Schizosaccharomyces pombe: one gene and its partners. Changing the gene in region 1 together with any one later gene gives a genetic interaction. Each region holds a gene or a part of one and is shown on either strand. Other genes may lie near its edges.

Evidence for each region.
Region 2: mutations in ecm29 (region 1) and bzz1 together harm fitness less than expected from each alone (positive genetic interaction), as found in Schizosaccharomyces pombe (one large-scale study listed by BioGRID).
Region 3: mutations in ecm29 (region 1) and SPOM_SPBC16C6.01C together harm fitness less than expected from each alone (positive genetic interaction), as found in Schizosaccharomyces pombe (one large-scale study listed by BioGRID).
Region 4: mutations in ecm29 (region 1) and usp102 together harm fitness less than expected from each alone (positive genetic interaction), as found in Schizosaccharomyces pombe (one large-scale study listed by BioGRID).

Annotation. Positions count from the first base shown.
Region 1 is NC_003424.3:4,751,350-4,761,924, forward strand, and holds ecm29 (proteasome assembly chaperone Ecm29), read left to right. Parts: upstream 1-3,464; 5' UTR 3,465-3,657; coding exon 3,658-8,697; 3' UTR 8,698-8,877; downstream 8,878-10,575. Other genes in the region: DNA-directed RNA polymerase II complex TFIIS subunit Rpb9, read right to left, coding at 335-385, 461-593, 636-685, 809-875, 943-983; pro3 (delta-1-pyrroline-5-carboxylate reductase), read left to right, coding at 1,445-2,293; sdu1 (PPPDE peptidase family protein), read left to right, coding at 2,834-3,439; SPOM_SPAC1782.02C (uncharacterized protein), read right to left, coding at 8,952-9,302, 9,403-9,537; splicing-associated factor Saf3, read left to right, coding at 10,458-10,575.
Region 2 is NC_003423.3:2,462,826-2,470,452, reverse strand, and holds bzz1 (diacylglycerol-binding protein Bzz1), read right to left. Parts: upstream 4,426-7,627; 5' UTR 4,281-4,425; coding exon 4,242-4,280; exon of another isoform or gene 4,198-4,241; coding exon 4,171-4,197; exon of another isoform or gene 4,117-4,170; coding exon 4,053-4,116; exon of another isoform or gene 4,002-4,052; coding exon 3,881-4,001; exon of another isoform or gene 3,803-3,880; coding exon 2,766-3,802; exon of another isoform or gene 2,720-2,765; coding exon 2,363-2,719; intron 2,320-2,362; coding exon 2,055-2,319; intron 1,987-2,054; coding exon 1,968-1,986; 3' UTR 1,714-1,967; downstream 1-1,713. Other genes in the region: SPOM_SPBC12C2.04 (NAD-binding dehydrogenase family protein), read left to right, coding at 238-1,392; ATP-dependent RNA helicase Dbp5, read left to right, coding at 4,595-6,106; srm1 (spermidine synthase), read right to left, coding at 6,357-7,253. UniProt on the Schizosaccharomyces pombe protein: Plays a role in endocytosis and trafficking to the vacuole. Functions with type I myosins to restore polarity of the actin cytoskeleton after NaCl stress.
Region 3 is NC_003423.3:4,318,513-4,325,196, reverse strand, and holds SPOM_SPBC16C6.01C (lysine methyltransferase), read left to right. Parts: upstream 1-3,566; 5' UTR 3,567-3,655; coding exon 3,656-5,077; 3' UTR 5,078-5,121; exon of another isoform or gene 5,122-5,185; 3' UTR 5,186-5,360; downstream 5,361-6,684. Other genes in the region: vps1302 (lipid transfer protein), read left to right, coding at 1-2,368; protein Spo2, read left to right, coding at 2,575-2,976; GET complex subunit Get1, read right to left, coding at 5,594-5,655, 5,749-6,115, 6,164-6,250; m-AAA protease Yta12, read right to left, coding at 6,588-6,684.
Region 4 is NC_003423.3:3,422,722-3,428,743, reverse strand, and holds usp102 (U1 snRNP-associated protein Usp102), read left to right. Parts: upstream 1-4,264; 5' UTR 4,265-4,512; coding exon 4,513-4,633; exon of another isoform or gene 4,634-4,686; coding exon 4,687-4,956; exon of another isoform or gene 4,957-5,013; coding exon 5,014-5,372; 3' UTR 5,373-5,522; downstream 5,523-6,022. Other genes in the region: plasma membrane glucose/fructose:proton symporter Ght2, read right to left, coding at 1-1,172; ESCRT II complex subunit Vps25, read right to left, coding at 5,550-5,738, 5,783-5,931, 5,987-6,022. UniProt on the Schizosaccharomyces pombe protein: Involved in nuclear mRNA splicing.

The DNA of each region.
Region 1 (10,575 bases):
GTATTCGGATTACAAGGCTATTCCGTATGGATTATTGTATACAAATAACTGAAACAGTTTCAGTATATTCCAGAAGGTACACCGAATGTGAAATAAAGAAATTCAAGTGTTTTGGTAGGCGCGTTGCTTAATATAAAGGAAGGAGGCGAGCATATGATTGAGAGGCTGGTAAATCCATTTTCGGCAAAGGTGGCTGGTATCACTCGAAAATCCAGTTTTCCAGCACAGAAGCGAGAGAGTGGTTACATCAAGCGGATCATTTAAACCGAAGTCTAAGAGCCATTGGTGGACGCAGCTAGTTTTACAATCCCTTGTTAGACCGAATTGTCGCATATTACTGTTCTTCAAAAGCAAATCCACAATGTACGCAAACATAAATCAGAGTCTAATTAAGTCAGTAAAATTGTTTTTAAACCTAAATATTAAAATTGTTTTCTCAATGAAACAATGCGAAACACACCATCATAGTATCACCCCGACGAGAATGAGTCTGATAAAAAACTGCTTCATGTTGATGACAACGCGGGCATTCTTTGTCTGATCTAGGTAAAGTAGGGTCCGTTGAAGCGTCGTGACTGACCGTCGTGTTTTCTCTACAAATTTAGTGATTATTCGAAGGATGAAATCTAACTTACACATTGGAGCTTTGTAACTCATGGCGATAAACTTTACTAGTAGCAGCGATCTATACAAATTAGCTGATGAGATATTTAAAACTTCCAAATGATGAGGAAAAAAGTAATCGAAAAGAACTTCGAATTTTTTTCTTGAAGTGAATAAACCCAGTAGGAGAAAAAAACAAGCTTACCTCTGAGTAATCACAATTACGACAAGCTAGCCTCAGAACACGATCCACTTTATCCTCTCTAGGGTACCTATTTATTTCATGTTAGTGTTTTCAAACAATTTTCAGTGTCATCTTTTTGAGAAACTAATCCGTACAGCATATTATTGCATTCTATACAATATTGAAAATTTGACATTTTAAAAAAGCAAACAAAAGTATTTTACTTCAACGCAATAAACTTTCAAAAGAACGTGGTGGTTAGTGGATATGGAAAATACAGTGGACAACAGCGTCCTGATGGTTCACATCTATAAGTTCGAAAAAGCTTTTGTTTATCTACAACGTCTCTACAAGATTTCGTTAAAAACTGTGTAGCTGCTTTAAAATTTATTTGCGATATACTTAATATTACTAATTATATAGAAGATATATTGACTTTAACGTGTAGCATTATTCAAACATGGACTAGTCCTACAAACTTGTAACATCATACTTCAGTATCTTACATTATGCACATCAGCGAGTAAAACGGTAATTTACAGTATGAGTTTGATTTTGGAATTAACGATCCCTTAGCATATGCTTTAGTCGAATTTATTTTCGCTTTAAAAGAAGACTACAAAAATAGTTAAACATTTTTAAGCATAACTTTAAAAAATGTCGGGGTTTTGTGTTCTTGGTTGTGGTACAATGGGAAAAGCACTTTTGACTGGAATCTTTGATTCCATTGCTGAAAATGGAAACGATGTTTCTGACGAAATTATCATTCCGAATAAGTTCTATGCTTGTGTCAAATTTCCTAAAGAAAAAGAGGATGTTCAAAAGCTTTTCGGAGATCGTGTTAAAGTTGTAATGGGGGCCAAAGAGAATGCCGAGATGGCTGCGATTAGTAACGTTTTGTTGTTGAGTTGTAAGCCTCAGGCCGCAGAGGATGTTTTGAATTCCCCAAAGATGAAAGAAGCGCTCAAAGGAAAATTAATTTTGTCAATTTTGGCTGGCAAGACCATCTCTTCATTGCAAAGTATGCTTGATGAAAGTACTAGGGTGATTCGCATTATGCCCAATACTGCTAGTCGAATCCGTGAAAGTATGAGCGTAATTTGCCCGGGACCCAACGCAACTGAAGAAGACATAAAGTTTGCTGAATGGGTATTCAATGGCATTGGACGTTCAATGAAACTTCCCGAAAAGCTTATTGATGCTGCTACCGCTGTATGTGGAAGTGGACCTGCTTTTGTTGCTACTATGATTGAGGCTATGACAGATGGTGGTGTAATGATGGGTATTCCGTTCCCTCAGGCTCAGGAATTGGCTGCCCAAACTATGGTTGGTACAGGTCGTATGGTTTTACAAGGTCAACATCCTGCTATGATTCGTAATGATGTTTCAACTCCTGCCGGATGTACAATTAGTGGTTTGTTGGCATTGGAAGATGGAAAAATTCGAAGCACAATCGCACGTGGTATAGAACAAGCAACCAAGACTGCTTCTGGCCTGGGTAAATGATACTAGCAAATTCATTTTGTGCTATTAAATATCCTGGTTCCAAACATGGATTTGTATATAAAATTCTTGGGTTAGTACTTCTGTTTCCTCTTTAAAGCTAGTTTCGTTATCTAGTTGTATTAAAGCGTTGTGACTTAGTTTCATTCAATGATTCCTCTGTTTAAGCTTGCAATTCTGTTACATTACTAATAATATGCGTATTCGAACAGCGAGATTATATTTCATTAACTTTTTAGAACGTTGTATGCAATTAAACCCATTTCATTGCGATTGCTATCGTAGTGAATTTAGCTAAAGGTATTCAATATTGAAGAAACGTACTATGTTTTGATTATTTTAACATTGTCATAGTCGTACCGATGTAAACAAAATCACCACCATAAACAGCTCCCGTATTTTAAATTTTTATCCTTAATTCGACTCTACTTTTTTTTATTAAAAATACTTAATTGTACAGGTATCGAATCTTAAAATTCAACCTGCTTAAGGAGGACCAAGGAAATTTGCAAGTTGTTCTTCGCCATCCGAACGTATTCGAATATGAAAGTATACATTAATGTGTATGATCTAATGCCAGACAGTCCGGTAAACAAACTAGCATGGACTCTTGGACTTGGTATTTACCATACAGGATTGGTTTTAGAAGGTAAAGAATATGCGTTCGGAGCACACGAAATTCCTGGCTCCACCGGTGTGTTTGCTACCATGCCAAGACCGCCTTTAGAAGGGTGTAGATGGCGCTGTTCTATTGCTTTACCTAATTGTACCCTCCCTAAACCCGACGTGGATAGAATTTTGATTCGTTTGAGTCAAGAATTTACGGGGTTATCATATTCTTTATTAGAGAGAAATTGCAATCATTTCACGAATGCTGCAGCAATTGAACTTACGGGCAGCCCTATCCCTTCTTTTTTAAATCGAATTTCTCGAATTGGATTGGCGTTTCCTACGATCACGAATGCCTTATTACAGCACGGTCAAAAAAATACATCCGACGTTGATGATTCCTCGGATTCTTCTTCAGATGTAGATGAAGAAACTTTAATCGTATCAAAAAGTAAAAAAGCTCATAAAGATATTCCTAAATTTTCCGCACCTCCTCCTTCTGCTGACCTCAATAACCTCATCACTGATTCACTTCCTTAAGTCGCATGCTGTTAGTCAGCCTTTTAACCTACGAAATACAACACACACATCCAAAATTGTAGATTTTATTTATGCCTTGTTCTATCAATTAAGTGTAAAGTCAATTTGGGACTTTTTTTTAATTACTTGCTTTCTGATATATATCTCTTTATTCATCTTTGTTTGGTATTTTATTGTAGAGTGTTTTTTTATTAGTGATTATAATTAACTCTACAATAATGGCTGAAAATGAATTGAGATTATTAAACAATGCAGAGCTGAAGCTCGCTCTAGCGGAAAGCGAGGACTCCTTTCAATCGCTTGTGTCAGTTTTTTTATGTCCGATTTTACTAAAACTCGATTCGCCTCATGAAAGTGTGAGAAACAAAACAATTTCAATTGCAAACCACATTATGACTAGGCTCAACAATAACGCGCAAGCCATACTACCTCTTGAAGCCTTAGTAAGCCAGTACGTTGAAGCAAATCAACCTTTGCGAAAAAGATTTCTCCTTGCTTTCATATCTATAGGCGAAAAAAGGATACCTTGTTCTGAAAATTTGGCCCTTCTCCAGATTTGTCTAAATCATGTCAATGAATACCCATTAGTATTATTGACATTGACAATTCGTTTACTTCGTTTTTCAAAGCCAACTTCGGCTATTACATGCTCTAACGATGTCATTTTATCTCTTTCTTCATTCTATTTGATTCAGAAAGATCAAAGGATTTTTAGTGACCTGCAATTTTCCCAAAAAACAGTAGATTACCGCTTGAGTCTGCTTCGGTGGATTCATTTATCTAGCTGGCCATCAAATTGGAAGTGGTTGGCTTACTTTTTTGCCTCTGCTGATTCTCATTCTGAAGTTGCCCGACTGGCAGATGAATTTACGCGTGATAGTGGATTACCTGATCTAGAGAATTTGTCCCACGTGAACGTTCTATTAGACATAGCGCTTGATAAGTTTCGAATCGAAGCTTTGCACGCAAACTTTTCTGTTTCCATTAGCTTAAGGAACAAGGCAATTCAGCATTTACTTAAAAGTAAAATTGCTGCGAATACTGACAAAGCTATAAATTGTATTGAATTCATTCTTGAAGCACCTCCTAGTATGCAACCCCGGTTAATACAGTTTACTCGTTGGGTAGTTGACAAAGCTGATCCAAATTTTCTTAAACCTAAAGCTGCGATGATATTGGAAAAAATTCTTAGCATCTTATCGAGTAATATAATTCAGAGTGATTTACTTAGAGGATTTTTATATACAACGATAGGTTTACTGACCAAGGTTGATAATCATCTGATTACTAATTCTTTGCTGACAAATTTATTGACCTCCTTACAATCTGAATTACCAGACGTACGAGTTTCAATTGACGAAGCTCTTTCTATTATTATTCCGTACTATAGTAATTTTCGATTTTCTAACGAATTGTTGCCAGTATTAGAACCCTTTATTTTTGATTCACCCGAGTCTCCTGCTGCGTATTGCGCACTTCGATTTGTATTGGTTGCTTTTCCTTTTGATTATTTGCCAGCTCGTTTTATTTGTCTAAAGGTACAAAATCCTTTCGTATTTCACCACTCTTTTATTGAAGAAGCTAAAAAAGGACTAAACTTATCTCAATGGGTTCAGTATAATAGTGTGTATTCCACGAATGAAGCTCAAGAGGAAGATAAAGTACGTGCCGCTAGTTATCCTTCTGCCTCTGAAGTAATCTCTTTTATTTTGTCGGACCATGATTTAAAAAAATTTTGGGAATCTAATGCTGCAGAGTATTGTTTGGCCATTCTTGAGTTTATTGAGAGATGCATTTATTATTCAGCGGATAGAAGCTTAGAGCTTTACGACAATGACAAGCTATCTTCTATAGACGCTTTACTGATTCAAGATTCCAAGTTAAGAGAAATGGTGTCTGAAAAGTGCATTTCTTTGTCAAATTTTAATGTATTTTTAGAATATGTTTTTTATGGTACTCTACTCATGCACTTTGAACCCACTTACGCCCTCAGCAGATTGGTATCCTTTGCACCACCTGAAGTTACATTTTCTTTACCGGAGTTAGATTTTCTAACGTCTGTATTTAACTTTCCACTTGCTTTGCGTAATACTGCAACACGAATACTGGGAATAATACTTAGTACAAAAGATTCAACTCGTATATCAGAAGTACTTTCTTCTTGCTTCACTATTATCTCAACGTCTAACAATAAAAATGACAATTTTTTCAAGGCTGAGACTGCTCTTCTAATCATCGGCTATACTATCTCATACTTGGCTGCTCAAACTAATTCAGCAGCCGTCGATTCTTTCATTCTCAATTCTGGCAGTATAAAAGAATTTTTTTCTGTTTTATTGGAATATCTTGGTTCCAATGTTTTGCACAAAAAGACCACTTCACTTGCTATTTATAAAGAATTGTTTGTTTATTTTACTAGAGACTGGATTACTTCGTATGGCGTTGACTTTGACGAAATTTTAAATGTTTTGCTACGCTTTCTAAAAGAGGTTGAAGATACCAACGTAAAGGTCGAATGTTTACACGTTATATCACGTATGTCGTTATCATTTTCAGATGATGAAATGGCAGAAAAGATTCTTAAAGCCATCTATGTTACATATCACATGGACTCTCCTGATATATTGTTTGCGAGTGCTGAAGCCATGTCGATACTTGCTGGTGGACATAGAAACGTTTTCGTGAAATCCACGTGCCCCATTTTTTTTCAAAAACAATTGGACAATTATAAAGCAGATCACTATTGCTTTACCCTTGATTTCATTTTAACTGATTGTGTCAATTCTCCAAAACCCTTACTTCGTAGGGCCTCTTCTTTATGGCTTTTTTACATAGTTCGCTATTGCGAACCTCAAACTTATACAATGACGCGGCTTAATGATATTTATCATTCATTTCTCTCATTTTTGGTTACTCAAGATGATTTTGTTCAGGATACTGCGTCAAGAGGCCTCAAAGCTATGTATGATGTTTTAGAAGGGGACGAAAGAAAATCATTTACTGATAATCTGATAAGCACAATTGCTGCTGACCGCGTTGATGAAAAAACCAAAGCTCCTTTGGACGCAGATACTGCCCTTTTCACTACAAATAAAGGTACTGTAGCCACCTATAAGGATATCTGTTCTTTAGCATCCGAGAGTGGTAATCCTGATTTGATTTATTCATTCTTGAGCATAGCAGGTAACAGTTCTCTCTGGCAAGCCCGTAAGGGATTGGCATCTGGTATAAGTTATTTAGGTATTCCCGAGGATCAAAAAAGAAAGACGTTTTCATTTGATACTTCTAAAAGCTCTTCATTATTAAAAAAGCTTTATAGATTTAAACATGACCCTAATCCTGATGTTGCCAAAACAATGGGTGAAATTTGGGACACATTAGTACCTTCAGATCTCAATTTGGCATCTCATCGTAAATACTTAGTGGAGGATTGCCTCGAGTTTATGGGGAGCAGATCTTGGAGAGATAGGGAATCCAGTGTAAACACTTTGGTTAGTCTTCTTTCTAATGTTCCTGTGACCGAGTATCTAAATCAATTAGAGGATATATGGAACATGTCTTTTCGAACTCTTGATGATATTAAAGAGAGCGTTAGGGAAGCGTCCTTTCCACTTTGTAAGCTTTTAGCAAGATCAGTTATTCAATCTTTGGAGAAGACTTCACACAATACTAGCCCAAGCGGAATTTGCAAAGGCAAACGGATTGTTTCAGTAGCTTTACCATTTCTATTAAAACACGCTTATGATCAGGCTAAAGAAGTTCGTTCACTTACATACTCTACCATCACTGAACTTGTGCGTACTGGCAATTCTACTTTGACTTCGTTTGTGCCGGCCATTATGCAGGTTATGCTTGAATATTTGACAGAGTATGAATCAAAAGCTGCTACCTTTTTGGATTTTCACGCCAAAAATTACAGCATTAAACAAGAAAATATTGACAACGCCAGAACGTCAGCCGTTCAGAGCTCTTCAATGATGGATACGCTAGAGAAGTGTATCGGCCTTTTGGATGAAAGCTCAATGCAAACATTATATCCAATATTAAATAGAATGATTGCTAAACCTGGGGGTGTACCTACCAAAATAGGCAGCGCCCAAGTGGTGATGCTTTTAGTAATTCGTCGTGGACCACTCGTCAAGCAGTTTGCTTCAAAGCTGCTTCAATCCTTGAAATCTTCTTGCTTTGATAGAAATGCTGCAGTAAGTGATGCATTTGCATCTGCTATTGGCTATTTGTTACGAGTTTGCCCGTTGGAAATAGCTTCACAAACTTGTCAAGAAATCATCGATAAATTCTACGATGGAAATACCAACGAACAAATAATCAGTTCCAAATTGACCGTGTATGCGTCGAGATACGCACCCGACGTCTTCCTTAATCTTGGTTCTCTTTTTTTTCCTTTCATTTTTTTTGGGAAACATTCTTCTTCCATTTCGATAAATGGGGTTTTAAGTAAAGCATGGGATGAACTTTCATCTGCCGGAAGCAGTGTGAACCTGTATTCGGAAGAAATTATCCTTCTTATCCAAAAAAACTTAATTGTTACAAAATGGGATGTCAAACGTCCTGCTGCTGCTGCATTATTGGAATTTGTCAATACTTCGCGACTCACTTATCGACAAAATGATATCTACGTGCTTTTAAATGAAACAATGAAAGATAAAAGCTGGCCTGGGAAGGAATTACTGCTTGAGGCTTATGTTAAATTTTTAATTAAATATCCTGAGTTCATTAAATCGCAAAAAATGGAAGAAGTTCACCAAGTGATTGTTAGAGAATTTAAGAGACGCAATATTGTTTACAAAAGCCATGCAATGGAAAGTGTTGGTGAACTGTTATCTGATGAAAATTATAGAGAGCTTGATTTGTATGAACTATCATTAAATGAATGTGGTACATTTTTGCAGAAGGAATGGTTTGATAAAGATGATGAATTGAATCTTGAGGAAAAAATTGCGCTTCAGCGCAATAGCGTCTATGCCATGTTTAATTCCAGCAGACCTGGAAATAAGAATTGTAATGAGATGTTGCTAACTTACTTGTCAAATGCCCTTGATGAAAATTATTTACATTGGAATGTGAAATTAGCAATTCTGAAAAATGCTCCTCACTTAAAAAAGATAATGTCTAACGAGGAATTCTTACTGTATAAAGATATTCTTTATCGTTGTTACGAAGACAATCCGTCACCAAAAGCAAAAGATTATGCTGAAGTCATCTTCGGCGAAAATTATTTAAGTGTTTTAAGAAATTAGCTTCATTATATTTATAGCTAGTGATAAAGCTGATCAGCCATTTGAACTTTCTAAACACTCATTTCTAATGCTAACATTGTAAAGGATTAATTAAAGAATATTTTATACAAACCTTTGACTAATGTATTCATATTTGATTTTAAACCTAGAATGTAAGCGATTGATGTTGAAAATCCAATAACGATAATAATAGCTTTTACAACAAATAAACAACAAGTGAAGAATACTAGATGCCAGTCACTTGGTTTTTTTTTTTAAGATTCTTCAACTTCACGTGCTTTTCTAGCGGCTAATTCTTCGGCCTTTTTTTGGTTTTTCAAGTATTTAGCCCTCTCTTCGCTCATTGCTGCAAACATCCAAAACTGCCACATCAAATCGCAAAATGCAAAAGTAAAAGTAAGGCTGTTGCTAGCGATATGCTCTTTTTTGAGGTAAATAAAGCCGGTAAGGATAAAGTCAAATATAGCACGAATTGGAGTAATTCCACTGAAGAACAGGAAATTGCTTTGTAACAATGAGATAGTATAAATCATTCCAAGAATCAAAAATACCAAGCCGGACAATGCAAGAGTCGATAAGTTGTCTTGTGTTACTATCAATGGTTTCTAAATTATAATGGTCAGATATCACTTCAAACATTAATCAAGAAATTAAAAAAAAAAAAAAAATACTATCTACTAAAACAATAAAGTTATAATCACATACAACTTCCATAGAAGCACCAATTAACGCGACCAGTCCACTTTCTACTACAAACTTGGGATTCCATAAAAATCCAATGCCAGCAAATGTTAGCATACAACAATAAAAAAGAACTATCGCTCGAAAAGAGAACAACATCGTGAAATCAGAAGACGACAAATGAGCAACTATTAACTTCTAGAGACTGTACTCCGTGGTTTAGAAAGAGAATGTAAAACTAATAAGTTTTTTTCGGAAAGAAAATGTAGAGAGTTTCGATGAATATTTCGTTCGTACTTTTGTTTTCTCAACGTCGCACCAATTATATGCACCTGATTTTTGCTATTTTACGGTAGTATCAAGCTCTGGGAAGTATGTACTCTCAATTAATGGTTATATTACGATAGTTGAACTTAACTTCACTATTGTTGCTAGTTGCCAGCGCTCGCTATCTGTATTTAGAATTAGAAGGTGAATTGAATTGAGAAATATAATCAATATAACAAAATTACAAGTATACGTTTGGTTTTATTTCTTCAAAGTTATTTTGGTATGAAAAAGTGAGATGCTGACAGATTTCAAGTCAAGAACTCTATATTTTTTAAAACCACTTCAACGAATTTTAGGATCTTGAAAAGTACATCATTTTTACTAATTATAGGAGGGTATTTTCAAAGGATATATTGTATGTAGCATCTAAATAATTTTTATGAAGGTCTCAAAGGGTTGACAACGGTTGTTTTTGGAAATACATTACATTGACCATAAACTGAAACGATGTATTTTACAAAAGGCAATTCAATTTTACAAACTTTCAGCTAAATATAAATTATGCCAGGATTCTCGTTCATTTGACTAGAATGTGTGCTTGTGATATTTGTTCTCGCATTGGTAAGTGCCCCGAAACCTCTTTGTAAGTGGCACCGTACCACAAATTGCATACATACAATCTATTATATCAGATATACAGTTTTATCTTGGGTGGTAGATAATAGATATATAATTTCCAATTCATATTTATATTGTTTTACCGGTTGATTGAAATTTGCCAACCAATTTAATAAAAAGCGTTTGTCAAGATGCCAATAGATACACCGTTGATACCCCATAAACCTATTTCAAGATATCGCTCTGGTAGATTGGAAGGGCTGGAAAGTGAGTCTTCTTCTGAAAGTGATTATGAAGAAGTTTCCGATT
Region 2 (7,627 bases), on another chromosome or scaffold:
ATTTTATAAACCTGTCTTTTACCCATACCATACGATAAGTTCAATTAGGAAAAAAAAAACAAAGAATCCTCAATTTGGAATTCTCATAGCTGTTTTCCTTTTTCCTTTTACTCATTCATTTTCTCGTATTCATTGTTGATCAACTCGGTCTTTTTGCACAACCATTCACATAGGTTGAGCCTGTTGTTTATCTTTGTTATTTTCTGAACTTGTTTTTATATTGCTTTGTTTGATTCAATGACTGCTCTATCAACCAACTCTTCTTCTGGTGGGATCTTCAAGATCGCTATTGTTGGCGCCGGTGGCATTAACTTTGGTACCCCCGAGGGACCTTGGAACAATGCCCAGAGAGTTGAAAAGGTGTTAGGAAAATCACTTCGAGTAACTGCTCTCATCAACCCCTTAATTAACGAAAGCGAGCGTGTTTTGAAGTCTAAATGTGCATCTGACGTTGCTTTCGCTTATGAAAACACCAAGACGTATGTCTCTGTAACTGAGTACTTGGAATACTTGGATTCCCATCCTGAGGATGTCCCTTCTGCTTATCTCATTGGCATTCCTCCTGATTTCCATGGCTGCACAACTCCGGGTATGGACATGGAGTTGGAAATTTTAAGAAAATACCCCAATGCTGCTCTATTTATCGAGAAGCCTATTACTAGTGCTCCTGTCCAAGGTGCTTTTAACCTCGTACATGAATTGGAGAAATACCATGCTATCATTTCAATTGGTTATATGTTCCGTTATTTAAAGATCGTTCAAGCCGCCAAGAAATACGTTGCCGATAATAACTTGAACATCGCTTGTACCATTGCAAGATATAACTCTGCTTACGAACATAATAACAAACTTTTCTGGTGGTACATGTCAAAGTCTGGTGGTCCCGTCGTTGAGCAAGCTACACATTTCTGTGATTTGTCCATCTATTTCGGTGGTGATGTCGATACTTCTACCGTCAAGGTAAACCGTGTAAACTGGTACGACCCTTGTGGAAAATTAGCTAAGGTTCCTGTTGACGAGGAGTCCATTCCCAAAGAGGAGCGCATCCCCCGTTTCACCGCTGCATCATGGAAATATAAGTCGGGTGCAGTTGGTATTCTCGCTCATAGTATCATTTTACAAGGAACGAATTATGACACTTGTCTAGAGCTTCAAGCAGATGGTCATTATGTTCGTATGGTTGACTTTTACGGTCAACCCAGACTTTACATTCGTTCTCCTGAGGCTGATAGCGAACGCATTATTAATTTCCCCGAAGATGATCCCTATTATAATGAATTTGATGCTTTCTTGGGTGTTGTCCAGGGCAGATATCCTCCTAGCCGCATTTTGTCCAAGTTTGACGACGGCGCTAAGACATACGAGTTGACGAAGATCATTACGAATAATTAAAGTATAGAAGAATTGAACACACAACTTTTTTTTCCTTATATTTTCACCATTTTGGCTTTTTTCTCTTTTTCGTTACCTTTCATGAAAGTTTTCCCTTCGTTATCGGGAATGTTTTTAGACTTAGTTCCAATATCACATGTCGTTTATATGTTTGTTTCAATTTGCAGATTACTTTTGAAAATGTACGATGACATATCACATCCTTCGATTCCTCTCTGTTGTAATGACAATGTGTTTGTATGTATTCGTTAAAAAATTGTTGATCAATTTTCTCGTAACGCGAAACTGTATTCTTCAGTAAACATAAATTTTGGTTACTAACGAAAAAAATATAGCATAGTTCAATTTAAAAAATTTTCCTTAGGCATAGCATTTAGTATAGTTATTATAAATATCTAAAATTCAAAAAAAAAAAGATCAATCTAGCAAAAAAATACTTTGGTGTATCGACCAACTACATTGTAGTGGATAAAAAATCGTAAGTTATTATTGACAATTTGCTTTTCGTAATACATAAAGAAGGTAAAATTTATCAACAATGAAGTAGATAATATTCATATAGATATTTCAATGGTTTATACATCTGTAACATAACTAAGACATATGTTAGTTTTTGTGCAAAGAAATGGAGAAATGAATAAAAAAAAAAAACAAAGACTTACTTAGCTGGGAATTGACCGGTCACTCCATTAAGTATCCCTTCAGACCATCCGTTTCCAGCGTTTCGATTTGTGACCTGAATTATATCACCCTCTTGGATTGATAATTCCATATCGGATTGAGCTGTGTATGCATATAACGCCTTAACATAAGAAGAATCTCCATCAAGTGTCACACTCGTATTTAATTCATCATTCAATTTAACATAAGAAGCTGGAATCAAGCCATCAGTTCCATCGATTTTTACTCGAACCCAACCAGAGCCATCTATATTGATCTATTAGAATGGGATTTTTCAAGCTTTACTTACCATCTGGTTCAAGTAGCGTAAATTCCTGTCCTTCAGAAGCTGTGATTACCCCTTCATGTTCCCCGGTAAAATCGTAAAGAACTACACCGTCAACCTTTGACGCTGGTTCAGCAGGCGTTGTTTCTTCTGTTTTCACGTTGCTTAAGGAAGTTTGATAAATACTACTTGAATCCATATCATCTGTGTATGTGTTACGATAGGATTCATAGGCATTTGAAGACGACGCAGAAGCATCAAAATCATCAGTGGCAGTAACACTGGTATCTACAGCATCATCGTCGGCCACTTCGGGCTCACCATTTTTGCAGTTGGCGGGAACAAGAAGTTCACACCTTGCATGGCATTTGAAGCCACAATCTACACGTGTTTTGTTAGTTAACGAAAGAAAGCAAATATTTCGTACTTTTGCAAACACATCCACGCTTCGATAACCCCCAAATAATTTCACGACAGTAACTGCAACTTGTCGGAAGTTTAAAACTAACATGTTTGAAATCATGAAAACGACCTCCTTCTTCTAAATTATTCGCAACTGACGTGATCTTGTTGATACGAACCTCTAAATCTTCTATTCTGGCCTTTACCATGAGCTCTTTCCCTTCTAGATTTATCGAAGCCTTTTTAGATTCAAATGACTGGTTAGCACTATTTGGATCATCGACGCGTAAACCTTCCAATTGTGAATCTAACGATACAAGCTCGCCTTTCTGTTTTCCAAGGTCATTTTTGGAGTGGACCAGTAAATTTCGGAGGTAGTTTTTACATGAACCATCCACCACCAGTGCATCCGTGTCATGCCAGATAGGACTAGGTTCAAAATGCAAGTCAGCAGGAAGTGCCCAATTCTTTGAATTGTGCCTTCCGAACATGGCAGAATCAAGGACTGGTTCATTTTTTGCAATTTCTGATTGAATTTCAACGGTTCTTTGGGATAAGGTATCATGGAGAGACTTTTCAATTGAAAAGCTGTTACACCATATTTCATTTAAATTCGAAACCCTGTATTCGTTCAATACTTGCATATGATTAAGGAGCGTTGGTAGAGTTTCATTATAAAACTTTTGCTTGTGGGCGTTGTATACAAGCATACGAAGTAGGTATTTATTTTTCTTATCGAGCATATCACTTTCAGATAATTTTAAATTTCTTTGAGTTTTTTGCTCTCGATATTTATCGTTTTTTTGCCTTGCGCTTTCTAAATCATCGCAGGCCTCATGGTAACTGACCTTGGCTCTCTTCACACTGTTTAACAATGTCTCCTTTTCGGATGAGAATTTTTTATATAAATCATCATAAACTTTTCTTAAAGCCTCTATATGAGACTCTAGTTTCTTCAGTTTTTCAGCAATGTCCAATGAATAGTCATCGGATAGCTTTTGATGAGTTTTTGATGAGCGCGTTAACTCATCCAAAATTTTAGACCATGTTGTTAAAGAAGCACTATAAAATTAGCCTGTGAACAGGAATTCAATATCCATCTAACTTCAATTGCTTGACAGGTTCCAATATTTTACATACCATTCTAAAGAGCCAGCAGACATTGCCGGAGTATCTCCGACTGAAAGGGCTGATGATTTTCTGGATTTCTTCTCCCCATATTTATTCGAAAGACTGGCTAATTTCTGAGCATATTCTTTTTCTAGCAACAAAGTTAGTCATTGAAATTTAACCATTGTCGTTTCTTATTTACCAATAGAACTTCTTTCTTTGTAGTACAATTGAATATCTTCAAGCCATTTCGCGCCATTATTAATCTTTGTTACAATGTGTTAATTGTTGAACTGTCTTCATTTTCATTCTTGGCATACCCAACTGTCGACAACTTTAAAATCGTCCTTTTATATATTAGTAAATATGCCAAATAACTAAAACACCTTACGTGAAGTTCATCACTAAATTTGTATGTTTCCAGGCTCATTATCCAGTATTATCTACACGTTTGATATCGCTGCAATAAAAATTTGTACCGGATATAAAACAATTAAAAAGAAAGTTTGACGGAAGAAATTGTGACAATTTTTGGCTTTACGTTACGAATGTTGATGAAAAGGAAGTACGGTGGTGAATCGAAACCTATATTGTTCAACTTTCACTTAAGGAGTAACTTAGCAATCACCAACTACATTGCCCACCAGAAATTGTCATCCAGTTTGCTAAGTCATCCTTGCTGAGTTTGGATATCTGAACTATAAATTTGATTTTTTTTATTTTTTTTACTAAAAAACATCCAAAATGTCAACTACACTGGGACAGGAAAGCAAAACTGACTGGGCTAGTTTGGACTCTGATGAAGAGGTTCAAAGAATTAGTGATAAAGTCAATCAGTTAAATACTTCAGAAAATAAAAATGAAGATCAAAAAGCAACAAATTTAAGTGACAGATTAGGTCCAAAAATCACTGAGAATGTTGATGCAAAATCTGAGCAAGACAAAGCGACCAACACGATTGCAGAGGACGCCAATACGAAGCAATCTGAAAATGATGAATCTAATTTAATACCAAATAAAAACGAGGTTCGTGTAAAATTAGCAGATCTACAGGCTGATCCAAACTCACCTCTTTTTTCTGTTAAAAGTTTTGAAGAGTTGGAGCTCAAGCCCGAATTATTAAAGGGAATTTATTCAATGAAATTCCAAAAACCCTCAAAAATTCAAGAGAAGGCGCTTCCACTTTTACTCTCAAATCCTCCTCGCAATATGATCGGACAATCACAATCCGGAACTGGTAAAACCGCTGCATTTGCATTAACGATGCTTTCTCGTGTTGATGCTTCTGTTCCCAAACCTCAAGCTATCTGCCTCGCTCCTTCTCGTGAATTGGCCCGTCAGATTATGGATGTCGTGACGGAGATGGGCAAATATACTGAAGTAAAAACAGCTTTTGGTATTAAAGACTCCGTCCCTAAAGGTGCAAAAATCGATGCTCAAATTGTAATCGGAACGCCTGGCACTGTGATGGATTTGATGAAGAGAAGACAGCTTGACGCTCGCGATATTAAAGTATTCGTGTTAGATGAGGCAGACAACATGTTAGATCAGCAAGGATTAGGAGATCAATCTATGCGTATCAAGCACCTTCTTCCTAGAAACACTCAGATTGTTCTTTTCAGTGCTACCTTTTCGGAACGCGTTGAAAAGTACGCTGAACGTTTTGCTCCCAATGCTAATGAAATTCGTCTGAAGACTGAGGAGCTTTCTGTTGAGGGAATCAAGCAGTTGTATATGGATTGCCAAAGTGAAGAACATAAATATAATGTTTTAGTGGAATTATATGGGTTATTGACTATTGGTCAATCAATTATATTTTGTAAGAAAAAGGATACCGCTGAAGAAATTGCTAGGCGTATGACTGCAGATGGACACACTGTTGCTTGTCTTACCGGTAATCTGGAAGGTGCACAACGTGACGCTATTATGGATTCATTCCGAGTAGGTACTTCAAAGGTTTTGGTTACTACGAATGTAATTGCTCGGGGTATCGACGTATCGCAAGTCAACTTGGTTGTAAACTATGATATGCCTTTAGATCAAGCAGGAAGACCCGATCCACAAACATATCTTCACCGTATAGGTCGTACCGGTAGGTTCGGCCGTGTTGGAGTAAGTATCAATTTTGTTCACGATAAAAAGAGTTGGGAAGAAATGAACGCCATTCAAGAATACTTCCAACGTCCCATCACGCGAGTGCCTACAGATGACTACGAAGAGCTTGAAAAAGTTGTCAAGAATGCACTTAAAATGTAAAGCATGTTGATTTTTAGAGATTATTTAATACATAGGTTTCTTGGTACCAATTACTAAAGGAATATTATTTACTTATGCTGGTATTTCACTGGTTTTTTTGCATATCAACTACCGAAAGAGAACGTAATCTCACTTACAAAAAGTAGAGAGCAGAAGTGTGAAAACAAAGAAAAAAGAGTATACATTTTGACTTAAGATTGCATTGATTAAGACGTATGAAACTTTAGCCAAAAAAAATAAAAATGTTTGCTTAAGAGGAGGTAGCCTTGTCAACGACATCACGAGCAAAGGTAGGAAGAACAAAGGAAGCAGCATGAATTTCACTGTTATAGTACTTACAAAGCTTATTCTCTTCTTCGGGAGACCACTTGCGAAGAGGCTTGCTAAGGTCGATGGAAGCATCCTTGGAGGCTACAACGAAGCCGATAGATCCAGAGGGATAGGTGGGGATAGTAGTGTATGCGTAACGAACATTGGGGAAAACTGTTTTAACGGCAGTCAAGACATTGCTGATGACACCCAAATGAATCCACATACACTCAGCTTGAGTAGTAATGACACCGCCTCCACGAAGAGCATCGGAAAGAAGTTGAAAGTAAGGTTTTTGGAACAAGGCTTCGGCAGGACCGTCAGGATCGGAAGAGTCTGTAATAATCACATCAAAAGTATTTTGATAATCTTGCAAAAATTTAAAACCGTCACCAATGTGTACCTTAACCTTGGGATGATTGAAACCTGCGGACATCTCAGGAAGGTATTGCTTGGAGACTTTAATGACATCTTCATCAATATCGCACAAGATAGCCTCTTCGACACATTCGTGTTTGACCACCTCACGAAGTACACCGCCATCACCACCACCAATAACGAGAACTTTCTTTGGGTTGGGGTGACTGTTTAGAGCAAGATGAGCAATCATTTCTTGGTAAGAAAACTCGTCGCGCTCAGTGGCTTGAATAGCACCATCCAAAACCAAAACATGTCCATAAGTTTCACTCTCAAAGACCAAAACATCTTGATACTTTGATTTTCCTGCATATAAAACCTTTTTAACCTTCAAGGTCATGGCTTGACCAGGCCACATGTTGTTGATCTCACGAAACCAACCATCTTTAATAAGAGGATGAGAAAGTTCTTGAACAGACATTTTCACTTCTAAATAACAATAAAGACACACAAAAGCAAGTAAGTAAGGTTGTAGTACCAAGCAAATACAAACGTTGCAAACTTTGCTTTTAGGAAAATTTTGTCATGTCGCATATTTAAGCGTGACCGTTTTAGCGCAGCGCTTGAGTTAAAAGTAGCATGTTAAGATACGTTACTTTTTTTAAAAAATGAGCTTAATTGATATACTTTCGGTTGTTGCTTACATTATTATCAGCGATGCTTGGCAATGAAAAGTAGACTTCTATTGTTGGGAGTGGATTTGGAACAACAATCATATTTGACGAAGCTAAAACTGATCGAGGAAACATTTGAATTAGTAAACAAATGTGTTTATACAATATTCCTTAGTTAATA
Region 3 (6,684 bases), on another chromosome or scaffold:
ATTTGGAAGCTCTAAAGTCCTTCATTTACCCAGTAATGAACTCATCCCGATGATGTACTTTAGTAACCCTCAAGAAATTGCTTTACTACTTTCCCTTCCTTCATCTAATAACCATTGGACTTCTCCATTTTTGGCTCAAAACGTTGGTATTGTTCATTTAAAAGCATTTGAATTTGACGATGATGACAATAACATGTCTACTACTTTGCTCAGATTGTGCGTTACCCTTGAAGATGCTACATTTTTTGTGACTATCACTAAAGAAGATAAAGCGTGGCCATTTAGGCTGAAAAATTGCACGTCTCGAGAAATTTGCTATGAACAAAAGCGACCAGATCCAGAATCGGTTGATAGCCGGTTTCTCCAAGGTTCTAGGAGCATGAAATACGCTCTTAATCCCGGGGAAGAGGCTAATTATTCTTGGGACTTTCCGATATTGAAATCAAAATTATTGCAAGTAGAAGTTGGAAAAGCAATTCACGATCTTGATATTTCGTCGGTGGGTCAACTTGAACCATGGCACCCCACAGAATTAGACCAAAAAATAAGGATACACCCTGAAGTTAAGGTTGATAGCTTGACGTCTCTCGTTACTTTTAACGAAATTGACTTAAGTAAACCTAAATTACCCAGTCGAACAAATTCCAACGTGAAAGGCTCGATTGTCGAGCAGAAATTTAAGTTAGTTTTGCAGTTGAAGGGATTTGGAATTTCCTTAATTGACAAAAAATATGAGGAATTTGCATATGCTACTTTGAAGAATTTTACTTTTAGATTTGATGATAGTAAAGACCTTAATACTTTTGGAATGTCATTGGGATGGCTTCAAATTGACAATCAGATGTTGGATTCTGTATATCCAATTGCATTGTTTCCTACAATGATTACCCAAGAAGTCAAACAAGACGATCCCCAACTTTTACAGCTGCGATTTTCCGTCCTTAAAGATAGCAGTTTTAATATTCTATACATTAAGTATGCCTCTCTCCTTCTTCAAGAGCTATCGCTCGAAGTGGAGGATAGATTGGTTTTAACGTTGTTACAATTGCTTTATCCATCATCCGATGTTTCTAAAGATTCTGCAAGTCTCAGCAAGAACGCTTTTGCGGATAAGTTTGAAATACCAGATCTTGACGCGGATGTTTATCGCAGTAACGTATTTTTTGAGACTCTCCATTTACAACCAACCCGATTAAATATATCATTTGAAACTTCTTATGAATCGGATCAACCAGCTGTCAAATCTTCCAATCCCACATTAGATTTTATGACAGGTATACTGATTAGCACATTGGGTAATATTCATGATGCTCCCGTGCAACTGAATTCCATTCTTCTTGAAAATGCTCGTGGCACACTTTCCGAAATGGCAAACCGAGTGGCAAGTCATTATAAACAGCAGGTTGGTTACCAAATATACAAAATTGCCGGGAGAGCTGATTTTTTGGGAAACCCCGTTGGTTTGTTCAATAACGTTGCATCTGGTGTATTTGATATGTTTTATGAACCCTATCAGGGGTTTTTGTTACAAGATTCGCAATCATTCGGTGATTCATTTGCTCGTGGAACATCTAGTTTCATGCGTAAAACTATTTATGGTGTTTCAGATAGTGTATCAAAGATTACTGGGACGATTTCTAAAGGTCTTTCAACTATGACTATGGATCCAAAATATCAAAATTCTAGAAGACGGTTTCGTTCAAGAAATAGGCCAAAAGAAGCTGTATATGGCGTAACCGCTGGAGCTAACAGCTTTTACGACAGCATGTCTAGTGGATTCAAAGGTCTCAAAAAGCCATTTACGGATCCAAAAAACAACAGTGCTGGCAAATTTTTGAAGGGATTTGGCAAGGGTATGCTTGGTTTAGCTACCAAACCTGCTATAGGATTGCTTGATATGACCAGCAACGTGAGTGAAGGCATTCGTAACTCAACCGATGTTCGTACTAATCCTGAAATTGATAAAGTACGTGTGCCAAGATATGTTGAATTTGGAGGTCTAATTGTACCATTTAAACCCTACGAGTCGCTCGGAAAATATATGTTAAGTTGTTTGGATGACGGCAAATATGCCTTTGATGAATATCTTTACCATGCTGAAATTCAAAATGTCGACATTCTATATATCAGTACGAAGCATTTTATTATAACCGGAAGTAATTATATTGTTAAAATCGCTGTACCCGTGAAACAAATTAGTGGTTTGCGGGTATCTGAGCATGACTTGGTTTGTACGTTGTCTAACAAGTCAGTGAGATATTTACCTTTGCCAGCTTCGCAGGAGATGAGGCAAAACTGCATAAACGCTGCATTTACTGCTTATTCAGAACATTATAGATTGCGATTGAAGCAGATATCCCCACTTTAAATTATCAATTTTTTTTTATATTTTTGTTTACTTTTTAAACTATTGTATATTTTCTTCTATTCAATTGATATTGTTTAACTGAATAGAATTCTTCTTGTTTGTTTACATTTGCTGTGTTTTGGCAGCGGTGTGAATCCCTCTTTGACTGTGAGTATCTTTCCACACCAAACTTAGAATTGTTTGTGAAAGAGAAAAAAAAACCGATTATGAGCATAACGATGTCCGATTCTTCTGCTTACGGCGAGGAATTAATGCGTGAGCGATTTGAGCACTTGCTTAAAGCTTACGAAAAAATGGCTTTGATGGTAGCAGAACAAGAGGAGTTTAATGCTAAAATTGAGGACATGGCTTTGAAATTATTAAGTGAGAAATATGACAATGAGGCTTATCAAGCTGAACTGTTTTATCGCTTGTCTAATTGTGTGGAAAAAGTCCTGCACAATAAAATAAGTATCACTGATCTAAAGACTGAGTATGAGGAGATTCTTGAGCAAACGCTGAAGAAAGAATGCAAGGCTTATGAAAGATCTTGTATTGAGAATGTGAAATTAAAGAAAAGAACAGAACAAGCAACCGCATATTATGCTAGTTCCTCAAGCGAACCGTAAAAAATGGGACATATGAGTCGATGTAAATTTCTTCGAATTTATTAGTTATTAAGCATACTCAGTCTATGTGTATCTTTTCCTTCTAAAATTTGACATGACAATTTACGACGGATAGTGAATGGAAGTAATGTGCAAACTATGTCATATATTATTTTTAGTTTTTTACATCTCTCCATTACTGATGGAAGTATCTACTGTTTAATTATGAATGTTTTATAAATGAAATAATTTATTTGTATGAAAAAGCATTATTGCGAAAAGTCTGTACAACTCTTGGTAAAATTATCACCATGAAGAAGCTTTTTATATTTAAAGCGTTTGTTTATTACCCCTTTTCAATCGTATTCAATCATATTCTTATAGTAGTTTTTATATTTACGATCCATCCTGCATTGCCCTTCTGTATCGGACAGGTTGAAAACGCGTAGCGGATTAAAAATCAAGTTTGAACAGACTAATGTGCTTTATTAAACATAATTTGAGAAATTAATTATCTTCTGTTCTAAGATACGTTCAAGTTTTACTCAAAAAATCAATGTGTACATCAGAAGGTTGGAGTATTTACCTACGCTTAAAATCAAATTTGCTTTGAAAAGATATTAACTTTCAAATGTTCAAAATTGCCGGAAAGCGCATAAAAAATATTATTAACTACTTATTAAAACATGTTAAATAAAGCATGAACAATTCCAAGCAATTTTTGAAGTACCAACCCTTACTTGAATGGCTAGCAAAACACGAAGCTTACATTTCACCCAAACTGTATATCGCTTCAAGTGGGGTCGCAGGAGATGGTATATTTTCTACCTTTGATATAGATGAACTTGAAGTTTTAGCAAAGATTCCTAGAAGGATCATTCTGAGTCCTCGCAACTCAAGATTTGGAGATTCGTTGTATACACATTTTAATGAATCTAATCGGTCTGATGATATTAACTTTGACAATAGAGATCAGGTTGGGCTGGTCATGCTCGTTATAACTGTAATATTGGAAAATATAACAGATAGTCCGTGGAACGCTTATTTAAACACCTTGGACGAAACTTGTATGCCTGATTCCCCATTATTATGGAAAGATAAAACGTGTCTTGAGGGAACCTCAATGCTTGATGTAATAAATACAAATTTAAGAGTATACAAAAATCAATATGATCAATTGGTCCGCCCTTACTTTTATAAACATGCTGATCTCAAACAGCTTTGTCCAAAATGGAATCAGTATTTAGAGACTTGTGTTCTCGTCCAAAGCAGGTGTTTTTACGTTAACAGCTACTACGGTTTATCTTTAATACCCTTTTTCGATATTTTTAATCACAAGTCTGGTCCAGCTATTGCTTCGCTACATTGTCAGGAGTCAAATGATCATAAAGGCGATATCAAAATAGAATTTATTTCTTTTCAGTATATACGAAAGATGTCCGAAATATTCAACTCCTTCGGAAACTTTGCCGCTGATGAATTGTTCACGCAGTATGGATTTATTGATACCGCTTGCAAAGTTTGGCGCGTCGACATGACAATGATTGCTTATGAAACTAACAGAAATTTTTATATGGAGTGGATTCATAAAAAAAGAATAATCAACACCCAGGAGTTGCTGGTCACCCCAACTACATACGCAAATGACAAGTCTGAGACTTTACGTTCAGTAATGATAAGACAACCTATGGATCTTTATATAATAACAGATCATGGTCCCAGTTACGGGCTTTACTTATATTTATTTTTTTGCATTTACAAAATCAAATTCCAAAAGTGCGATATGAATATAGTAATGCTTACAAAGTATTTTAATGAAATCTGGGCTGTGTTTATAGCACATAAGGAGGGAGAAAAAGAAAAGGTTGTTGCTCAACTCTCTGGTTTTTCTTTTTATTGTAAGGCTATAGAATTTCTACAGATGCTGTGTCAAAAGCGCATTAGTCGTTTCAAAAATGGTGGGTTGACTGCTGAAGCTTATAAGACTCTATTGTGCGATCCGACTCTTAAACGAGAGAATAGGTCTCGTTTAGTCTTACAAATTTTTTATCATGAACTTAATTTACTCGAAAAATCAATGCAAGAAACAATTTATCTTTGTACTGAAAATTTTGAAGATTAAAAAAACAACATACAACGGTTGGAAATGTTGCATAAAAGGAAAAGGTAAGATCGAAGTTCAGCTTAAATTTTAATCATAATTTTGTGCCCTTCTTAATTAACATTGTAGTAACTTTATGATGTTTTCCAAAACCCTGCATCGTTCCCTTTCTAGATGTCCTGTGTAATAAATAACCTATTTGCCATTTCAAACTTTCGGTATAAACAGCATCAGAAATATGAAAGCGTCAAATTAAGCAAATGAATTAGTAGGCATAGAAATAAGAAATCCGATGACAATTTAGATGAAAACCAGTGTAGAGCACATAAAGTGTACAATTTGTGAAGGAATAACATAATATTAATCGTGCATGGTAAACTATGCTTTCCATGGCATTCTTTCTTATGAGAAAAGGAAGTAGAAAACGCATTTATAAAATGACTTTACTGAAAATACATATGGCATCTTTTTCCCTTTAGTTAATTAAACTAAATGATAAAATATTAAAATTAGTCACCGTCTTTGATGATTTGGAGATCAAAATATCCCGGAAATAGTTTTTTGAACCGCAAAATTCCAAACTGTTAAGCTAACCGATCCTACATGCCATGTTAGTATTTCAGCTGCCATTGTGATAAATGAAAATAAAAATAAAAAAAAGATTTTCAGAATTTTCATTAAAAACAACATACCGTAGATTGATCGTGGAAGAGATAGCACCCATAGAGCCCAAGAAGGAAGCAAGAATGCAGGGAGGAAAAAGACAGGTGTTTTGGACTCTTTGAATTGAATATAAAACCGGAATCCACGGGTTAAAATCCAAAGAAAAAGGCTTAAAACCCGCTTGAAAGTATCTTGGAAAATTTTAACATTGGCTGATTGTTTTTCCCACTCTTGACTGAGTTGTTCATACTTTCTATTCAGACGGGCCCATTTAGCAAACTGATCTTGACTGCTAGTAGCGTTTAGCTCTTTCTTAACAGTAAGCAGCTGCTCTAAAATTTCTTTGTTCTTCTTTAAATCTTTATTATTAGAAACACTAACGTAAATTCGATAAGCCTTTCACATTATTAGTTTTCTTTACAACAAGTATATATGTTAAATTACCCCATCAATAGTCCTTTTTTTTGCAAATTTATCGAAGAAATGAATAAATAAGCTTAATAAAATTGTTGAAATAATCAGATCCATCATAAAATATGGACTTGTAAGAAAGTACAGTGGTTAGTGTCAAACGTGTAACTGTTGAGTATCACGCTCCCTATGACATGCTGGTCTAAAGGTCGAAACTAAACACAAGTTTGTTTGTTACGATATTAGCTATTTTGTGTTAGAAAATAATAATCTATTAACCTTTTAAAGTTCAGAAGAATTGATGTTAAGTATATTTATCTAGCTTCTGTAATATTAAATAGAAAAAATAGATAAAATAGCTATATGATATTCAATTGACAAATACTTTGATCATGAGATCCATGAAAGTAACTATTTTCATTCATAACGCTTTATTTAAATTCAGTAAATTGACAAATTAGGCAGAAGGTTGTTGAGGAGATGGGGGGATTGGTGGATTTCGAGGATCGTGATCATTTTTATACTCAGACTGACGCATAAGTTCAGAAATATTT
Region 4 (6,022 bases), on another chromosome or scaffold:
GCGGCAGGAGCCCAAGTTTGAGCAAATCCAAAAATGAAAAGACATGCCATGACAATCATAACGGCACCAGCACGGGTATTTGAAGTACCGTTCTTATGATATAAAGCACGAGAACCGACAGCTGAATAAATGAAAAAGCAAATTGACTGCCAAATACCACCAATGATAAGAGGGTTACGACGACCAAACCTTTCCAATACATACATACCACCAAAAGTGCAGCCAAAATTAACTGCATCAAGAATCATAGCAGATAGGTAAGGAGAATTAATACCAGCTCCTTGCATAACTGAGAAACCATAGTAGAAGAAATAGTTGTTACCGGTCAATTGTTGAAGCGACATAACAAACATACCAAGGAAAGTACGATAACGAATGTCTTTACCGAAAATGCTTGCCCAGCTGCAAGGGCCACCAGCAAATTCTTCGTCAATAGATGATTTGAGACGGTGATATTCATTTTGAACTTCCTCACTATCAGGAAAAAGCTCAGCACTTTCAGAAAGAACTCTAACAGCCTCTTCATCCTTGCCAACTTGAATAAGATAACGAGGGGATTCGGGAAGGAAGAGAATTCCAATCATGGTAATGATACCCCAAAGGAGATTAATACCAATTGAAACACGCCACTGGGCAGTTTTATGAAGTTTGTGAGTACCCATATTGATACAAGCGGCAATGAAAATTCCACCAGTGACAAACAACTGATAAGTGACGACGACGGTACCACGAATACTGGGAGGAGCAGTCTCTGATTGATATCCAGGAGCCAAGACAGAAAGAGCGCCAATACCAATACCAGTCCAAATCTTGGCAACCATGATTTGTACCCAAGAGGGAACAGCGGTAACTTGAACGATGATACCAATGATATAAACAGCACAAAAACCAATGATAGAAAGTCTCTTACCAAAACGATCGGCAATGGGAGAAGAAATGATACATCCAAACAAGGAACCAACGTTAACCATACCAGTTAAAAGACCTTGACGAGCCGAAGACAAAGAATACTGGTCGGTGATCGGGTCATATCTATCAGCATAACGCTCACGAAAATCGCGCATACTAGTAACACCACCAATGGAACCGGTATCAGCACCAAACATCCAACCGGCCATGGAGACGAAAATTAACATAACAAGGGTAAAATTCTTTCCACGCTTGAACCCCATTTTGATAAAGTATAAAGGAATCTAATAAAGATGAAAAAAAACAAAAATTCTATAGAAAGGATGTAAGTGGAAAATAAAAGATTGAATAAAATTAACCACACGTCTATTTCAGTTGCAACACGTTAAGCAGAAATGATAGAACAAAGAACAGACAGTTTATGAGTTAGAGATCTTGACAAGAGATTCTCAATAAATAAAAATTAAAAGAAAAATTAATCTAGATTATGATTTTCAAGCACAGAGAGCTTGTATTTTCAAAATCGGTATAAAGAAAGGGTAACCAAGGAAAGCACAATGCTTTTATTGAGCTTTCTTTGGATTTCGTTCTTGTTTAACCAAAAAAAGAAAGGATTTTTAGGTAAATGAAGACTAAAGTTGCTCTTGCACTTAAAAAGCAAGAATAGGTCTAGGTAAAGATTTTAACAGTCAAGAGGGCAGCTTTTATACTAAATTCGGGAAGAGAAACCCCGACAAAAGTATCAAAAGTCCTTTGCTTTCAGTGAAATTTTAGACAGGATCGCCGGAGAGTTTTTGGTTATACGTCACAATATTACAAGGGCAACAAGGTAGTTAGCAAACTCTTGTATCATTGGACGCCGACTTAAAAAAACGCAGTCACACACAAATAAGAACGAATAAGATGTGGAATAGAATTTAAACGACGTGTATGACGAGGATCAACAGCTCGTTGAAAGTCAAGAACGAGGTAAAAATGTCACGATATCATTAATTCTCCATAGCAAAAAAAAAAATTCAATCGTAAAATGATACACTGTACGTAATGAAACTGATGCATATACTGGGGAAAGACACTATTAGTGAGGTAGAAAGCCGATAACAGGATGAAAAAACGACTTTCAATAAATGTGATGTAGGAATAATTCTCAAAAGTAAAGTAAATTTAAATACTTTGGCGACCGAGGCTGCAAGTTCGGACTGCTAGCAAATACAGAGTGTATTCCAACGTCAATAATTTTAGCAAAGTAACCGAAAAAACCAAGTATATTTCTATACTCCTCATATCGTTAAATCAAGATTGAACACAAAAAAACGTTTCCTGAGGCAAAAGAAGTAAAGTGTCTGCAGTAAAATTAATTCGCAAGGCGAAAAAATAATACCAATGGTGGCCATACGTATTGGAACCAGCAAATATCAAAGTTTAAAACACAGCATACTCTCATCGCTGCATGACTATCTCAAAGCTGGCAATAGAACAATTAACGTTACGGAACCATAATCCTTCAAATTTCGATTGCTTGCATTCTCGAGCTCCACATATTCGAGTCCATAACGGAACTAACCTAAATGCGGAGTTCCTCTAGTATTAACTAGTAACATGAATAGAGCATAGCCGTGCTCTTTTTTTTTAAGAAAACGTCACGCAACGTGTATCTTATCTCTGTCCTATCCAAGTCAGGATAGCTAGGGGCCCCCAACCTGGAGACCATACATCGACCGCGACACCAACCATCCTAGCGAGACTCCCTAACAAGAAGGTAAATATGGATGGACAATGAACCTTTTCAAAAAAAAACAGAATTCTCAAGCGATATATTCGCTCTTGAACAGTTCGGTGTAAAAGGATACTTCTATCCCTTGATTACGTGTACGCCCATACTTCATTCGGACTATAGAAGAAATATGGAGCTGTAACCCGTACTGCAATTGTCTGTGTTAAGAAAATGTAAACGCTGCACACTAAATCATCACTAATTCATCGCTAACTAACGTAGTCCCTAAAAAGTTATGAACTTGGTAAACGACTTTTGAGGCCTTGGGACCTCCTTAAATACGCCCAACTCATTACTAACAAGGTTTGCTATGTCCGTGAAAAGCGCCTATTGTACATATATTGCTCCCATATATGTGAAGCTTTTGCCCAATCATTGTAAGACAGGGTCTTGCTATATTTCCCTACCCCGCTCCATTCTTCCCAAGTCTGAGAAAAACTGTGGAGAAGCCTACCAATTTTGCCTAAGGGGATTTTGATCCCGCCTCTGCAATCTATTGGACGATAATAGCTATAACTACATTTGATTGGATGAAAGACATGTGATGAATGCTGGATGGTTTTGTTGTTTTTAAATGACCACCGATAATTTTTTTAGTTAGTACGCATACATTGATGAAAGCTGAAAAATTATAATAGGGTGAATAAATGAAATTCTTTTTGTGTCTTTTACTCTAATATCGTCTGGCAATTTTCTATTTTCGTACTTCGATAGCGCCATACATGTCTTGTCACCCGTTTTTACGAGCTAGGCTTAGAAATATCTTGGAATTTTTTTTCAGACATGTTGATGATTGGCTGATACTTTTTCCAGTTCTGCCTCCTCCACAATTTGCATCCGCGTTTTCCAGAGACGTTGGGGCAATAACTTTGTCTAACATTAAATTGAAATTACAAGGGTAAGTATTTGAATCAAGACTAACCTTTATACGTTGAATGTCTTCGATATTGTAGAGAATGCCTTGAAAAAAAAATTTTATTTGTGTTAATACAATCTAATATTGTGGAATAAAAAATGGTTTGTGACTGCTCTTCTGTTCTCGGCTGTTGTATTTCTTAATAGGACGGCTCGTAAAATTCGTTATTTGCGCGTCCAGTACACCATCGATTCCCATATTATCCACAGTTTACAAATAACAATATTTATATCATTTTCTTTACTTTGGGTAAACGCTCTCTTTCAGTAACTAAATCAATTGTTGTTTATAAAATTTTTATTCTTTTGTTTGCGCGTTCAAAATTTGTCTGCACGGTAAATCATTAACGCATAAACTCGGTTCTTTTACCTAGGTATCTCGTAAATTATATAAGGATTTGTACCATATTGTAACAAAATACAAGGCAAACTGAATTATTGTACAGATTATCGTATTCACTATTCAAGCATTCGTAACTTTTTCTGCAACTGAAAACAAGATTAATGAGCAACAACATGGTCAAACATAGCGATGCGTTATCGTGTTAAAACTACGTCCATTTATTGAAGTTCTTCCTTTCGCGATCTTTAACTTGGATAAGGAGTGTTTCTCTCCATTTGATATTTGGTACATTAGAGTACTGTATTTTGAAAACAAGCGCTTTTAGAATACATCCAACGAAATATTAATGCTGGCTATAATTTACATTTTGAAATTGAATGTAAAGTCAACCATTACGAGCCATATTTACTAAAACAAGGTGGTACCTGAAAGACTACTTCTTTTGGTAATTAGCTGGAATTTAATGCCATAAGCTGGATTGTCTTCCAATTTTTAAATACTCGTGTTTTTTGATTCATCATAACATTAGTGCCGAAATTCACTGTGAATATCTTTTTATATTTAACATCCAATGGATCCTCAAACAAATTCGCATCAAGAGGTTCAACAACCATCTCCTAAAGAGACAGACTCTCAAACACCGTCAGAGACTCTCTACATACGCAACATTGAAGAAAAAATTCGTCTTACTAGTATGCCACTAATTTAAATTGTTTTAATTTAATTTAATTTCTAACAATCGTAGTGTTGAAACGAATTTTAGAACATCTCTTTGGGTCTTATGGTAAAGTCATAGATGTTCAAGCAAGAAAGACTTTGCGAATGCGCGGTCAAGCATTTGTAGTATTCGACAACTTGGAGAACGCGTCACGAGCGTTAAAGGATTTACAAGGATACCCTTTGTATGGAAAGCCCATGATGATACAGTACAGTAAATCTAAAAGCGATATTATCGTACAAAGAGAATCTCCTGAAGAAATAGAAACTAGGAAAAAAGATAGGAAAAATAGGAGAGGTATAATCTTTTTTATTCTAAAATCAAAGACCTCACTTTACTAACCTTATATTATAGAAATGCTTAAACGGACTAGCGCTCTTCAACCCGCAGCTCCCAAACCCACTCATAAAAAGCCGGTTCCTAAACGTAATGTTGGAGCTGAGCGTAAATCGACAATTAATGAAGATTTGTTGCCTCCTAATAAGGTACTTCTGTTACAAAATATCCCTCAAGAAGTAAACGCAGACGTCCTTACACAAATTTTCGAAGCGTTTTCTGGATTTCAAGAAGTACGTATGGTTCCCGGTAGAAGAGGAATTGCATTTGTTGAATACGATTCTGATAGAGAAGCAACGGTCGCAAAAAATGGGACAACAGGTATGTCCCTCAGTGGAAATCAAATAAAGGTAACATTCGCTCGGAAGGCCTCGTAGTTGATTCTGCAACTATTTTAATTCCCTCTTTCAAATTTTTGTTGCAATAATCATCCAAAAGTCACCTTTCGAAATATATAAAGCTCCTATCATTTTCATAATTGATCATTTGTGTATATAAATTATATAATGCAATTTTGCAGGCCCAAAATTATGTATATCAAGCATGTAATTATGTTAAGCTTTCAGTACCTTGAACCCGCTATATTTTCCAGACGATCCTTTCATTAATTCGATATTTCCTTTTTTCATTAGTAGCTCAAGAACTTTATGGAGGAGTACTTCGTCTAAACAATCTACCTCTTTATATTGTTCTTGAAGTTCGTAAAATGTACATATAGACCCTTCTCGTCCCATATCGGATAGCTGTAAAACAATTAGTACTTTCGACTATGCAGAAAATGGCTTACCCATTTCAAGATCATATTCCCCCATTCAGATATAGACCTCCAGTATACCCAAAACACGTCTTTAGGATTTCGCTTTTCAGTCCATTCTGCTAGGTTTTGTTTCACCATATCCTCTACTATTTCTCGAAACACCGAAAGAGGCAGCGTTCCTATTTGGTAAGAAAGAAAGTTAGCACTAAGGAGTAATACAAAGAGTTTTCTTACTATGAATTGTACTGTTATGAAGCAAAGAACTTTCTA